Macaca mulatta: one gene and its partners. Each later gene encodes a partner of the first gene's protein in a complex. Links are inferred from orthologs where the notes say so. Each region holds a gene or a part of one and is shown on either strand. Other genes may lie near its edges. The genes, in order: STRIP2, STRN3 and PDCD10.

Region 1 (3,655 bases):
AACCCAGGTGCTAATCATCCGCCCTGTTCCAAGCCCATAGTTAGCCCCACTCACCTGAGCTCTGTGCTATCAGCTATGGAGACAGCTGGTTTCCGAAGGGCACTGCTACAGGCCTGGCTGTTGCTGCCAGGGGGAGGAGAAAAAGAACAGGAATGCATAAGACCTCTTTTCTCTCTGTGCTCTTACTTATCACTCACACAAACATGAGTGCTTGCCATTCCCTGGCTAGGCAGCCACTAATGAAACTGGTCTAGGGTAAAGGAGCCGACAGAATTCCCTTGCCACCTCAGCAAACTCTCTTATCGTAATATGGTGAAGACAAGGCAAGGGCAGGATCTGTGGTATCCACTCATCTTGCATTCCCCACTATGCTTAGTATTGTGCTGGACATAAAACAGATGCTAAGAAACACCTGATGAATAATAAGCAGATTGCACCCTATCTCAAACTCCTGGGTGATGGGCATGAGACAAAACAAGGGGTCACTGTAGTGGTAGCAGCAAATAAGGCAACCTCTAGAACTATAGCCCATGAGGGAAAGAATTGGGGACAGTGACAGGAATTGATTTCCTGTCTTTCTTGGGTCATGCACTCAGAACAGTTTCCCTCTTGAATTACAGAGTTAGGCTGAGCTAAGAGAGTCCTTGAATAAAAAAGAGAACCCACTCAGGATAGGCCCCTGAAGCCCAGGATTAAAGCTGTAAGTGAGGCAGAAGCTGCAGATGTATCCAACCTCAGGGAGGGAGAACAGAATATCAGAGAACATGGCTGGATGGAGGGAAACTGTCAATGAGCTTTGGGCTGAGGTGTGAGTAGACCCAGTTCCTCACAGGGGCTCTCTATAGTAAGGGAAGCAGCATAGAATATGAGGCCCCTTTAAGGAATGGGGGTTGTGTAGGCCAGCCCTTCCCCTAAGGCTTCTCACTCAATTTCCATGTGGAGTAGCTCCAGGAAGGTGGAGAAGGTCCCCATCTGATACAGCAGGAAGCAGTTGTACCTGGACCAGTGTAGCACATCGACCTCTGAATCACATTCCCCAAAAGTACCTAAAGGAGCAGACAGTTGTTACAGGGGTTGAGAGATGGCAGTATCCCAGTTCTTTCTACCCTGCCCCATGATCTTAAGATTTTCCTATAATACTCTGCCCAATAATTAGGCTGACATAGGTATGACAGGGACCCCAAGAACTTCCTGGAATGAGTCAGGGGAGAAGAGAGGTAGTCTCTAGGGTTAGGTCCAATGTGCTCATCAATGGCCTGTCATCTTAAGGGTGGGTTCTTCCAGAAGCAGATCCTGAGGTAAGTAAGGATTCCAGTACAATTAGCTTATTTGGGAATCATTCCCAGGAATCATCAGTAGAGATAGGGAAGAAAACGAAGCCAAGAGTTCACTCAGGGGATAACTTTGGAAACAGTATAAAACACACAACTCACAGTTATTCTATCCAAGAGGGGTGAGACAGTCAGGCTATCCCTCTACTAACTACTGTCAGTCACTGGATGAGGGTGCTAAACTAAAGGAGCACACTGATTCCCTACACTTCCTGGATGCCCTGTATGGGCTGCAGAGAAGGCCCTTGGGCAGAAGCTGGGCATGGTGGCACACGCCTGTAATCCTAGCTACTTGGGAGGCTGGAGCAGGAGGATAGTTCAAGCCTATGAGTTCAAGACCAGCCAGGGAAACATAGTGAGACTTTGTTTTTAAAAAAATTAAATAAATAAAGTCCTTGGGCAAACACATGAAGGTACTGGGAGTTGGAAGTTGGCCAGAGCACCAGATCCTAGAGATACAGGAGGGCACAGTCCTATTTGCTAGTCTTCTCTTCACCTAATGTCTACCCTTTCCCTTCTTTATTTATTATTTCTTTTTAGAATTTTTTTTTTAGCTCCCAACTGGTTGGTTCTGTTAACAAGCCTCATATTTATGATCGTAGGCTTATTTTCACTCCAGCTAGGCTATCTCATTTCCCTTTCCAACACCTGGCTAACAGGTTTCTTCTGACCAGCTTTCCCCAGTTACTCTATTTAGGTCTGATCATCTCCAAATTACTCACAGCATCCACTCCTGCAGCTATGTTGGCTTGAACTTTCAAAATGCCAGTGAGAAACAATGCAAGGGGTCCATGTGTATCTGTGACACTCTCCTATTTCTCCTCAGTTTTGGGGCCAGGCCACAGTTGATGTCTTGTCTCCATGATCAGCTGGTGGTACATCATCAGCTCTGGCCACACTGACCCTCTTGCTAGTATTCACATATGATTACAGTACAGGGTAGGGAAAAGAAGAACCCTATAAAAAATTCTGACATGCCTGGTAAGATAATGGCAGATCCCAAGGGATCTAGAACAGCACTCAACACTATCTCATCTTCCCCATAAGCACAGGTTACTCCTAGCACGTGACAAGATCTGTCCTTGAGAGGCAAGAAACCTTGCTTTCCTAGCACAGCCTGCATCATCTCAGTCCTGATAATGCCCACTTCCCTCTCAAGCCTCCACCCCTCTAAAGCTAGCAAGGGTAGTCACTCACCTTGGGCCAGGTAGAGAACAGCCCGGGCCACCTTCAGCCGCCGTTCCCTACTGACCACCTCCAGCCGGTCCAAGAGTCCCATTATATAGGCCTTTTGGGCATCTTCTTCCAACTCCAGCCATTCCTTGCCCTGCACTGGGAATAAAAGGCCATATACATCTAGTGTCAGCTATTGCCACCTTTCCTGGAAAGGCTTCTCATAGCATAGCCACCTCTGATCTCAGCTCCCCCCAAAAAGATTATTTTCTCCAAAAGCTTTCCTTATTTCACTGAGAAAGAATAAGGGATGGGAAAAGGACCCAAAATGTTCTGGCCTGAACCCAGTCTATAGCCTCATCTTCAACATCCCCTTTATTCTCCATACACAGCCCATACTGTCCTGTCTCTCTGCCTTTCCTCAAGGAATTCCCTTTGTCTCCCTACATATTCAATTCCTAGTCATCCTTACAGGCCCAATACAAAATGACCTCTTTCCCACTCTTACATGCCCAATATAAAATGACCTTTCTCACTAATGCTCTGGCCAAATACTCTGCTTCCCCAACACTTTTTAAACTTTTCTGATACAGCATTTTCCTCTTGGATGAAGGGTGCTAAACTAGAGGAGCACACTGATTCCCTGCACTTTCTGGCTGCCCTGTATAGGCTGCGTGAGAAGGCCCTTGGGCAGAAGCTGGGTATAGTGGCACATGCCTGTAATCCTAGTTACTTGGGAGGCTGAGGCAGGAGGATTGTTTGAGCCTCAGCTAGTTTTGTGATGTGCACATGATTCCTCTGCTCTCAAACTCTAACTTCTTTGTAAAAGCTGCTTCTCACTCCTGCCTCCAGTATCTGACACAGAATACTCACCACACATTTGTTGAACTGAAAATCAAATTGCCACTGACCAAGTAAGGAAATGGATGAGAATGTCTGAGAATGTCACAGTGTGGGCACATGAAATTACTATTGAGAGTAGGACAAAGTTGAAGATGGGGTGAAACATTAAGGTCAAGGGTTGTATCAGGCAGCACAGGACCAGCTTCTCATGCTTCTACTCCATTGCTCTCCACTTGAGACACAGAGAACCCTGTATCCCATAAGCAAGAAGGAAAGTCTACATGGTTATGGAGGTTGTGATGGTTAAT
Region 2 (3,655 bases), on another chromosome or scaffold:
TACAGTATTAACAGTAAAGTCATTTAGGAAATGTATAACGTGAAATTTTTAAAGGCAGCAAGTTAAGGTACTTTCTGAAAGTCTGAACTAAAGACCCTTTAAGAATATTTTCATCCCATTTTCATAATTCTTGGTATTGACAGAGGTTTATCTTTTTACCTTCACATTTCTCCATCTGTAAAGACAGGCTGTGAAACCACTTCTAAAGCAGTCAAAAGTTTACTGGAATTTAGTTGCTTATGTATTTAAAAAAAATATTAATGAGAATAATCCAGCCCACCAAAGGCTGTCTCTAAAAAGCATGCTAACGTTAACTATAAAATGTAGAAAAAGAAATTCACTATAAAAAGAAAAAAAATTGCTGAAAAACTGCAATTAACATAAAGATCTAACAGGTATAGTTAACTCTCAATTGAAATATTAATATCTAGAAAAATTAAATCCAAGACAAGTTTCACCTCTAACACTGGACTCCCTATCCCTTCCATCCACTCCCCATCCCTCTAATGGAGTTAAGTATTCAGGAAATGATGCAAGCTAACTTTAAAATGTTTAGAAACTTTAAAATATTTCCTTAAGAAAATAAAAGTTCAAAAATAAAACATGCTTTTTAAGAAGTATTCTGAAGGCAAATAAGTGATTCAGGTTATTTTTTTTCTTGTTAACACCAAAATATGGCTTAATTTGAGATAATTGAGAGTTGACTACTCAAGATGTATTTATTGACCAATATATTAATCATCTCAAACTTCTAGTTAATCCACCAAAATACCTAAAACAAAATTTAAATACCACAAAGAAAGTAGTTATAAAAGAAAAACTACATGTCACTTCAAATCAACACATTGACACAAACTTATCTCTTCCATGCACCTTGACATTAATTCTGTTTTATAAGTGATTCCAAAAAATAAGGAGCCTTCTATTAAATCATTAAAAAATTAAAAATAAAACTGCACTTACATCATAACTATAGTCTGCATCATTTGTTACCGTCAAGTCTGCAAGGTCTCCAAGGCCCAGTACACTTAACAAAACATCATCAGAACCCATAATAAATGACTTGCCTCCTCCAGATGGAAACGTTATTGGTTCAGCTATAAAGAACAAAACCGCTTCTTAAATGCTGAAAAATCATACAGTACAAGACAATATTGTGGGGAAAATTTAAGCACTTAACAGTTACAATATTCAGTAATATAATTAATTTTTATTTTCCCACTTCTACTCAAAAAATCCTGTTACTAAGCAGTGTTAAACAAATGTGTTGGAACTGTGGTGTAGTAACTGTCCACAAATAAAATGTGCACTAGATATATTATTCTGGGGTGGAAGTTGGGGCACAAAAGCTTTGTCTAAATCTCTTATCACTTCAGTACAATTATAACTATAGTTTACATGTTAAATAAGAAATAGGACAAATTTTGATTAAACAATGGAGTTAAGTATCAGATTTTTGCTATTCATGGGGGGAAATCTCTACCATGGACCTCAAGGACCTCAAAGTAGTCATACAGTATTTTTTAAATGTTAATAGGTTGTTGCTAAGTCCTTTTGCTTTCTAAAGAAGTACTAGGCATTCTAGTCCCTGATAAAAACTAGTACAAACACTGAAATGTAAATGGTTTACAGTCAGCTATATACTGTATCAGTTCACTAGAATGAAGCTTTAATTGTTCAGATTCCTTCAGTAACAGCAATGGTCTAGGAAAAAGTTCTTCCACCAACAACGTCAGTTTCCTTTCTATAAAGAGGTTAATCCATGTGGACTTCAGAACATCTTCCAGCTTTATTTAATTAATTAATTAATTTATTTATTTACAGAGTCTTGCTCTGTCACCCAGGCTGGAGTACAGTGGTGCGATCTTGGCTCACTGCAACCTCCACCTGCTGAGTTCAAGCAATTCTCCTGTCTTAGCCTCCAAGTAGCTGGGATTACAGGTGCCAGCCATCACGCCCAGCTAATTTTTTTGTTTTTAGGAGAGATAGGCTTTCACCTTGTTGGCCAGAATGGTCTTGAACTCTTGACTTCAAGTGATCCACCCACCTCGGTCTCCCAAAGTGCTGGGATTACAGGCGTGAGCCACCGCGTCCAGCCTGTCTTCCGGCTTTAAAGCTTTGACTATGATTTTTATTTTAATGTCCCATTCTAGTTACCATGACATTCTAAAATGAAGCAACTAATCTTGACCACAGAGTTTTAATTTCTGATCAGATGTGCCATTTCAATTTCAAACTAAACTCAGGTTGAGCTTCACTTAGATTTCTTGACTATATCATGTGCATTATTACAGCTTTTCATGTTAATATTAGCAGTTCGAATTATTTAAAATGTGTTTTCCTTTCTATACATACTATTAACCAATTAAACTCTGCCATAATTGAATAACTATTATCTAAATATTTTGTTGTAACAGTCATAGTTTAAGCAACAACCTTCAATATAATTTCAAATGCTTTGAAAGCAAAAACTTAACATTAAGGTAACAAGGGAGAAATACTCAAATCATTATAATATAAAACTCAATATATTAAAACACACTTAAAATTCATGAGCAAATTTAAAAGGGAAACATTATACAAAAAAAATTAAGCTGTTTGTCAATTTTTTAAAAATTCCCATGAAAAATGATATAAATATGCTACAGGAAACACAAGAGCTGTAATGAAACTTGACAGTCATCACTAATACTACTGGAAATAATTCTGAGAAGATATAATTCATATATGTATAGTATGGCAAAATAAAATTCATCTTTATTTAAAACATCTTGTTATTTTATTATTTTATCTATCAAAGTAAGCTATATAATCTGACTCAAATAGGGTTCTAAAATGCAGCTCTGATTCAGTTACTTGATCTAAAATGAATCTGAAAGCACCTGAAAGAAAATATATACATAGAGATCCTAACTAGTATTTAGTTAATCTTTCAATTATGACACTTATGAATCTGAATAATCTGTAGCATTGATCTTTTCCTACAAATTATTAGCATGCAGTTATTGGCAATACCAGAAGCAGCTATCAACTATAAAATCAATAATTTAAACTTATGTTTAAGGATAAGTACATAAAAGTCATTAGATAACATTTACTCAAAGCATTTTTCTCTAGACAAAGAAATATTTTTACTTTAAGCTCATAATTTGTTTCTAAAATGCCACAGTTCTTCCCACTCACAATTATACAAACATTCACTGACACAAAGCCCAATAAAATAACTTTAACGTAACAAATCATTTTGCAGGACTATCTCTGATCAGCCACTGACCAATTTAGGAGCATGTGAAGGTTAGTGTCTGGATGTTAGTTTTACTCGCGTTTTGGATTAATTGTACTTAACAAAAAATTAGTATTATACTCATTTCTAATTAATCATATGACCACATTTCTATCCTTTTCTCTATATACACACATATATTTCATGACATATTTATGTAGATATTGCAAACTATTCTGCTTACTCAGTATTTATTTACATATATATGTGTAAAACTTCTTTTACACTATTATCTCTGCTTTCCATATTACCCATCACTGTGGCATATGGTAATCCCAGCAGCTACTCATTTGTTTACCCTTATTTCCCTGCAGATGGAATTAATTTCTATCCTAAAAATTCATTTTATTAATGGTAATATAATTACCCATA
Region 3 (3,655 bases), on another chromosome or scaffold:
AATCCAGTACATCTGAACTAATGGAAAACTAGTGGAGACTCGTAATTTAACAGACCAAAATAAAAAAGCCAGGCATTTATTTACTGTTTGTAATCTACATTTGCATATTCTTAGGTGAAAATTCAGTAAGGTTTATTTGTTTTAAGTTAGGATTTTCATGAAGGGTCCAGAATAGATTTTTTCAGAGTTTTCCAGTCTAAACCAAACTCAACTCAAAGCACAGGGATTCCCTTTCATTAGCGGATTTGCATAAACACGTATCATGCACATTTGGGTGGCATGATTAGAAACTACTTTTCCATGCAGTTTTTTGATAAGATGTCTGTTTACGTTTCATCTGAAGGCTTTGTCTTTCAGTGTATGTTTTGCACAGCTGCCCTAACTATTAGGTTGGTGCTAAGTTCCTCCTGCTCATACTATCTGCCTCTTATCACAGAATTCATCTGCACCAAGCCGCATTCATTAGTTATGTGATATTTATTTTACCCTCAAGTTTTTTCTCAGTTCTTTATCTGGTTAATTGTCTGTAGTGGTTTTTTTGTGACAGTATTTTCTCTTATAGGAAACAAACTCTCTGGTAATTACTAAGATAATTTAGCTTCCTTATGTGCACACCTTGGTGCCATAAATGAAAATACTTTTCTGTGTACATATGGATAACATAATATTTGACATACATTCTGCAGATTGTTTCTAGAGAACATTTTTTCTACAATTTGGTAGGCATTTAACAGTCTTTTGCCTCATGTCCAAACAGAAGGCCAGGCTTAGGAATAAACAGCCTTGGCTGACAGAGAGCTGTGTTCCAATAAGGCGTTAAACCTTAGCTGCAAGTTTTCAAACCTGCCTCATCAGCAGTCACCTGAGGAGTTGCGCCTCCTCACACCCCCTTTTAAAGTAGAGATTTCCAGTATTTATCAGCATGTCTGTCTTTTTTTGTCCAGCAAAACCCTCCCTTCTCCTCTCGTCTTTCTGTCTCCCTAGGTGCATGAGGCAGCATTTTTCAGACCCACTCTTTTGACTTGTAGAATCCAGGCATTGTTGTTGCATATCAAACTTATGTTCATCTTGATGACTAGCCCTGGAAACACGTTTTATTCCTCTTCAGTGGAATATTGAAATACACTACAAAGTGAGACTGTATAAACTTCTGTCTGATCACTATGTAATTTGCTCCATTATATTCCATTTTAAGTAACTCCATTGTGGATTTGGAGAAGCTTGCATATTTGGAGATTTGACATTTTTTGTTTATTGAAATTGTAATTTTTCTCACAGAATAGTCCTATGACAGCATTTTATTAAACAATGGTGGGTTTATGTCCATCACACCAGTATACAAAGATTCAACTTGCTTAAGCCATAAATGAAAGGAATAGTTATCTAATTAAAAACTGCTATTACTAAACCAGAGGCAAAAAAAAAAAAAAATTAGATAGCATTTATGTAAGACTTATTGTCCTACTTGAATATGTAATATTTCAGTGTTTCAGCCTAATACCAGTGTTTGACCTGAGAGAGGTAATAAGTAAAGTATTATTGAAATAATTAATGAAAATGTAATTACTACTTCGGAGTACTCTAAAATACTTTTTTTAAAATATCAAAATTCTGTATGCTTTTAATTCTTAAAATTTCTACATGCTTATTTACTGAAAAACATGCTGGGAAACACCCACATGCACACAGAAACCTGGACACTGAGGATTTTTTCCCCTTGAAATAGGAATGTTGAAATGTTTTAGATAGGAAATAACTGAAATCTGGCATTTATAATTAGTATTAGTAATAAAATGTTATGTTTAGGATGGTGCAGATTTCTATCTTATTCATTTCTTCACAGTTGCATTGCATTTGAAGTTTTTGTTGTGACTAACAGCTAAGAGAATGGTTTTGAAAAAGGTTTGTCGTAGAGAATGAGACTGTTTGAGAATGCAGAATTACATAAAGTTCAATTTGATAGAAAAAAATTGCCATGAGGTTAAAATGTGGAAATCAAAAGGGGCTAGACAGAAAGGCAAAAATAAAACAAATTCAGAAAAAAATGGTGCGTGGATAGGAAGAACACTCAAATGAGAATTATTGATTTCTTCCTTTTGTTTCTTTTGAAAGGGGAGGGAGGTGATGATGCATATATAGTCAAAGGATGATTGCCAGAAAGGTTAAAGTGGAAGAATATTGTGGTGATGTCTCCCCCAGTAATTTAAATATTATATTTTCCAAAGGGAATAGTGGCTGACAGCAAGTGTTTGAAAGAGGAGGATATTTGGTTGCTAGATAGAAGCTAAAAGTGTCTATAAAAGAGTAAAGGAGGAGGAGTATTTCCTCAGGGGAGAGGAGTATTTTCTGAGGAGGAAATATTTTATGTTAAACATCAAAACTAATAGGTATCTAGCATACAGCGTCGTTAAATACAGAATTGAGTTATATGTCATGCAGAATATCATAAAATTGTTCATTGTTCAAATAACAAAAGTGGAGAACGTGGTAGCTTGAATTTAGCTACATTAGAGCAGAGGAAAAATTTAAAATGGGGAAAGACAGACATAGGTAATGTTTATCCTTTTCTAAATTTGAGTAAGGAATGCTTAATGAAATGTGATTGATTTGAGAAAGTTGGTTTTGGTTGGCAACCTTTGGTCAGCAGTGCAAGAGAATCAGGATTACAGAGGGGTACAGGCTAAAACCCCAACTCCAACCAGCTAGCCAAAAAGGCTGGCTATTCATGAAGTGAGTGCACTTACCATAATTAAGAGTGTACTGTGATTAGATTAAGAGTGTACTTAATTTCTTTCAAATGTAACTGATGTTTTCTCTCACAAATTTCTTTCAAATGCAGCTGATACTCTTTATTCTTTTCCCAACAGGGATATAGCTAGTGCAATAAAAGAACTTCTTGATACAGTGAATAACGTCTTCAAGAAATATCAATACCAGAACCGCAGGGTACGTTTAGTAGAAGCCTTGCTAGCTGACACCCTAGATGCTGGTTTATGCCTAGTTGTTTTATTGACTTGAAAATAGGATTGATTGTTGGAAATAGTTTTGTGTCATTAACCATTGAGTTATTCTTGGATTTAAATATGCCTTTTTATTTAAAAGTAAATATTCCACAATTGCTTATTAGTAATATTCATATAAAGTGCATCCCATATCCTGTGTAATCTCCTGTCCTTGCCTTTGGCTGTTGTGATTATTTCTCTTATTCAGTACTTTTTTTTTCTTACTGTATTTTGTGGCTGTAGGCACTTGAACACCAAAAGAAAGAATTTGTAAAGTACTCCAAAAGTTTCAGTGATACTCTGAAAACGTATTTTAAAGATGGCAAGTAAGTACTGTAATTTATCCTTTACTTTTAAAATTAAATAGATTATGTGGTTTTATATGGTATGAAAACCATATAAATTAAGCCCTTTTACTTTATTAGTACTCCAGGCAACTGATATTCAAGGCATTCCACTAACAATAGGAAATGAATGTGGTTGCTAATCTGGCTATAACTCCTTTCTACAGCAGGAGTTACCAGATGCTTTCTGAAAAGAGCCAGATAGTAAATATGTTAGATTTGGTGGGCCTGTTGGCCGTTATCCACCTCATCTCTGCCGTTGTACTACAGAAACAAGCCATAGACAATATACAGACAAGAGGGTGTGAC

What was found.
Region 2: STRIP2 (region 1) and STRN3 share a complex: the UniProt entries of both Homo sapiens proteins name them as parts of the core of STRIPAK complex. The link is inferred for Macaca mulatta from reciprocal best matches to the Homo sapiens genes STRIP2 and STRN3.
Region 3: STRIP2 (region 1) and PDCD10 share a complex: the UniProt entries of both Homo sapiens proteins name them as parts of the core of STRIPAK complex. The link is inferred for Macaca mulatta from reciprocal best matches to the Homo sapiens genes STRIP2 and PDCD10.

The regions. Positions count from the first base shown.
Region 1 is NC_133408.1:169,095,307-169,098,961, reverse strand, and holds part of STRIP2 (striatin-interacting protein 2), read right to left. Parts: intron 2,664-3,655; coding exon 2,529-2,663; intron 1,047-2,528; coding exon 926-1,046; intron 124-925; coding exon 55-123; intron 1-54. UniProt on the Homo sapiens protein: Plays a role in the regulation of cell morphology and cytoskeletal organization. Required in the control of cell shape. Calmodulin-binding scaffolding protein which is the center of the striatin-interacting phosphatase and kinase (STRIPAK) complexes.
Region 2 is NC_133412.1:104,025,146-104,028,800, forward strand, and holds part of STRN3 (striatin-3), read right to left. Parts: intron 1,098-3,655; coding exon 964-1,097; intron 1-963. UniProt on the Homo sapiens protein: Calmodulin-binding scaffolding protein which is the center of the striatin-interacting phosphatase and kinase (STRIPAK) complexes.
Region 3 is NC_133407.1:79,296,294-79,299,948, reverse strand, and holds part of PDCD10 (programmed cell death protein 10), read left to right. Parts: intron 1-2,867; coding exon 2,868-2,946; intron 2,947-3,245; coding exon 3,246-3,328; intron 3,329-3,655. UniProt on the Homo sapiens protein: Promotes cell proliferation. Modulates apoptotic pathways. Increases mitogen-activated protein kinase activity and STK26 activity. Important for cell migration, and for normal structure and assembly of the Golgi complex.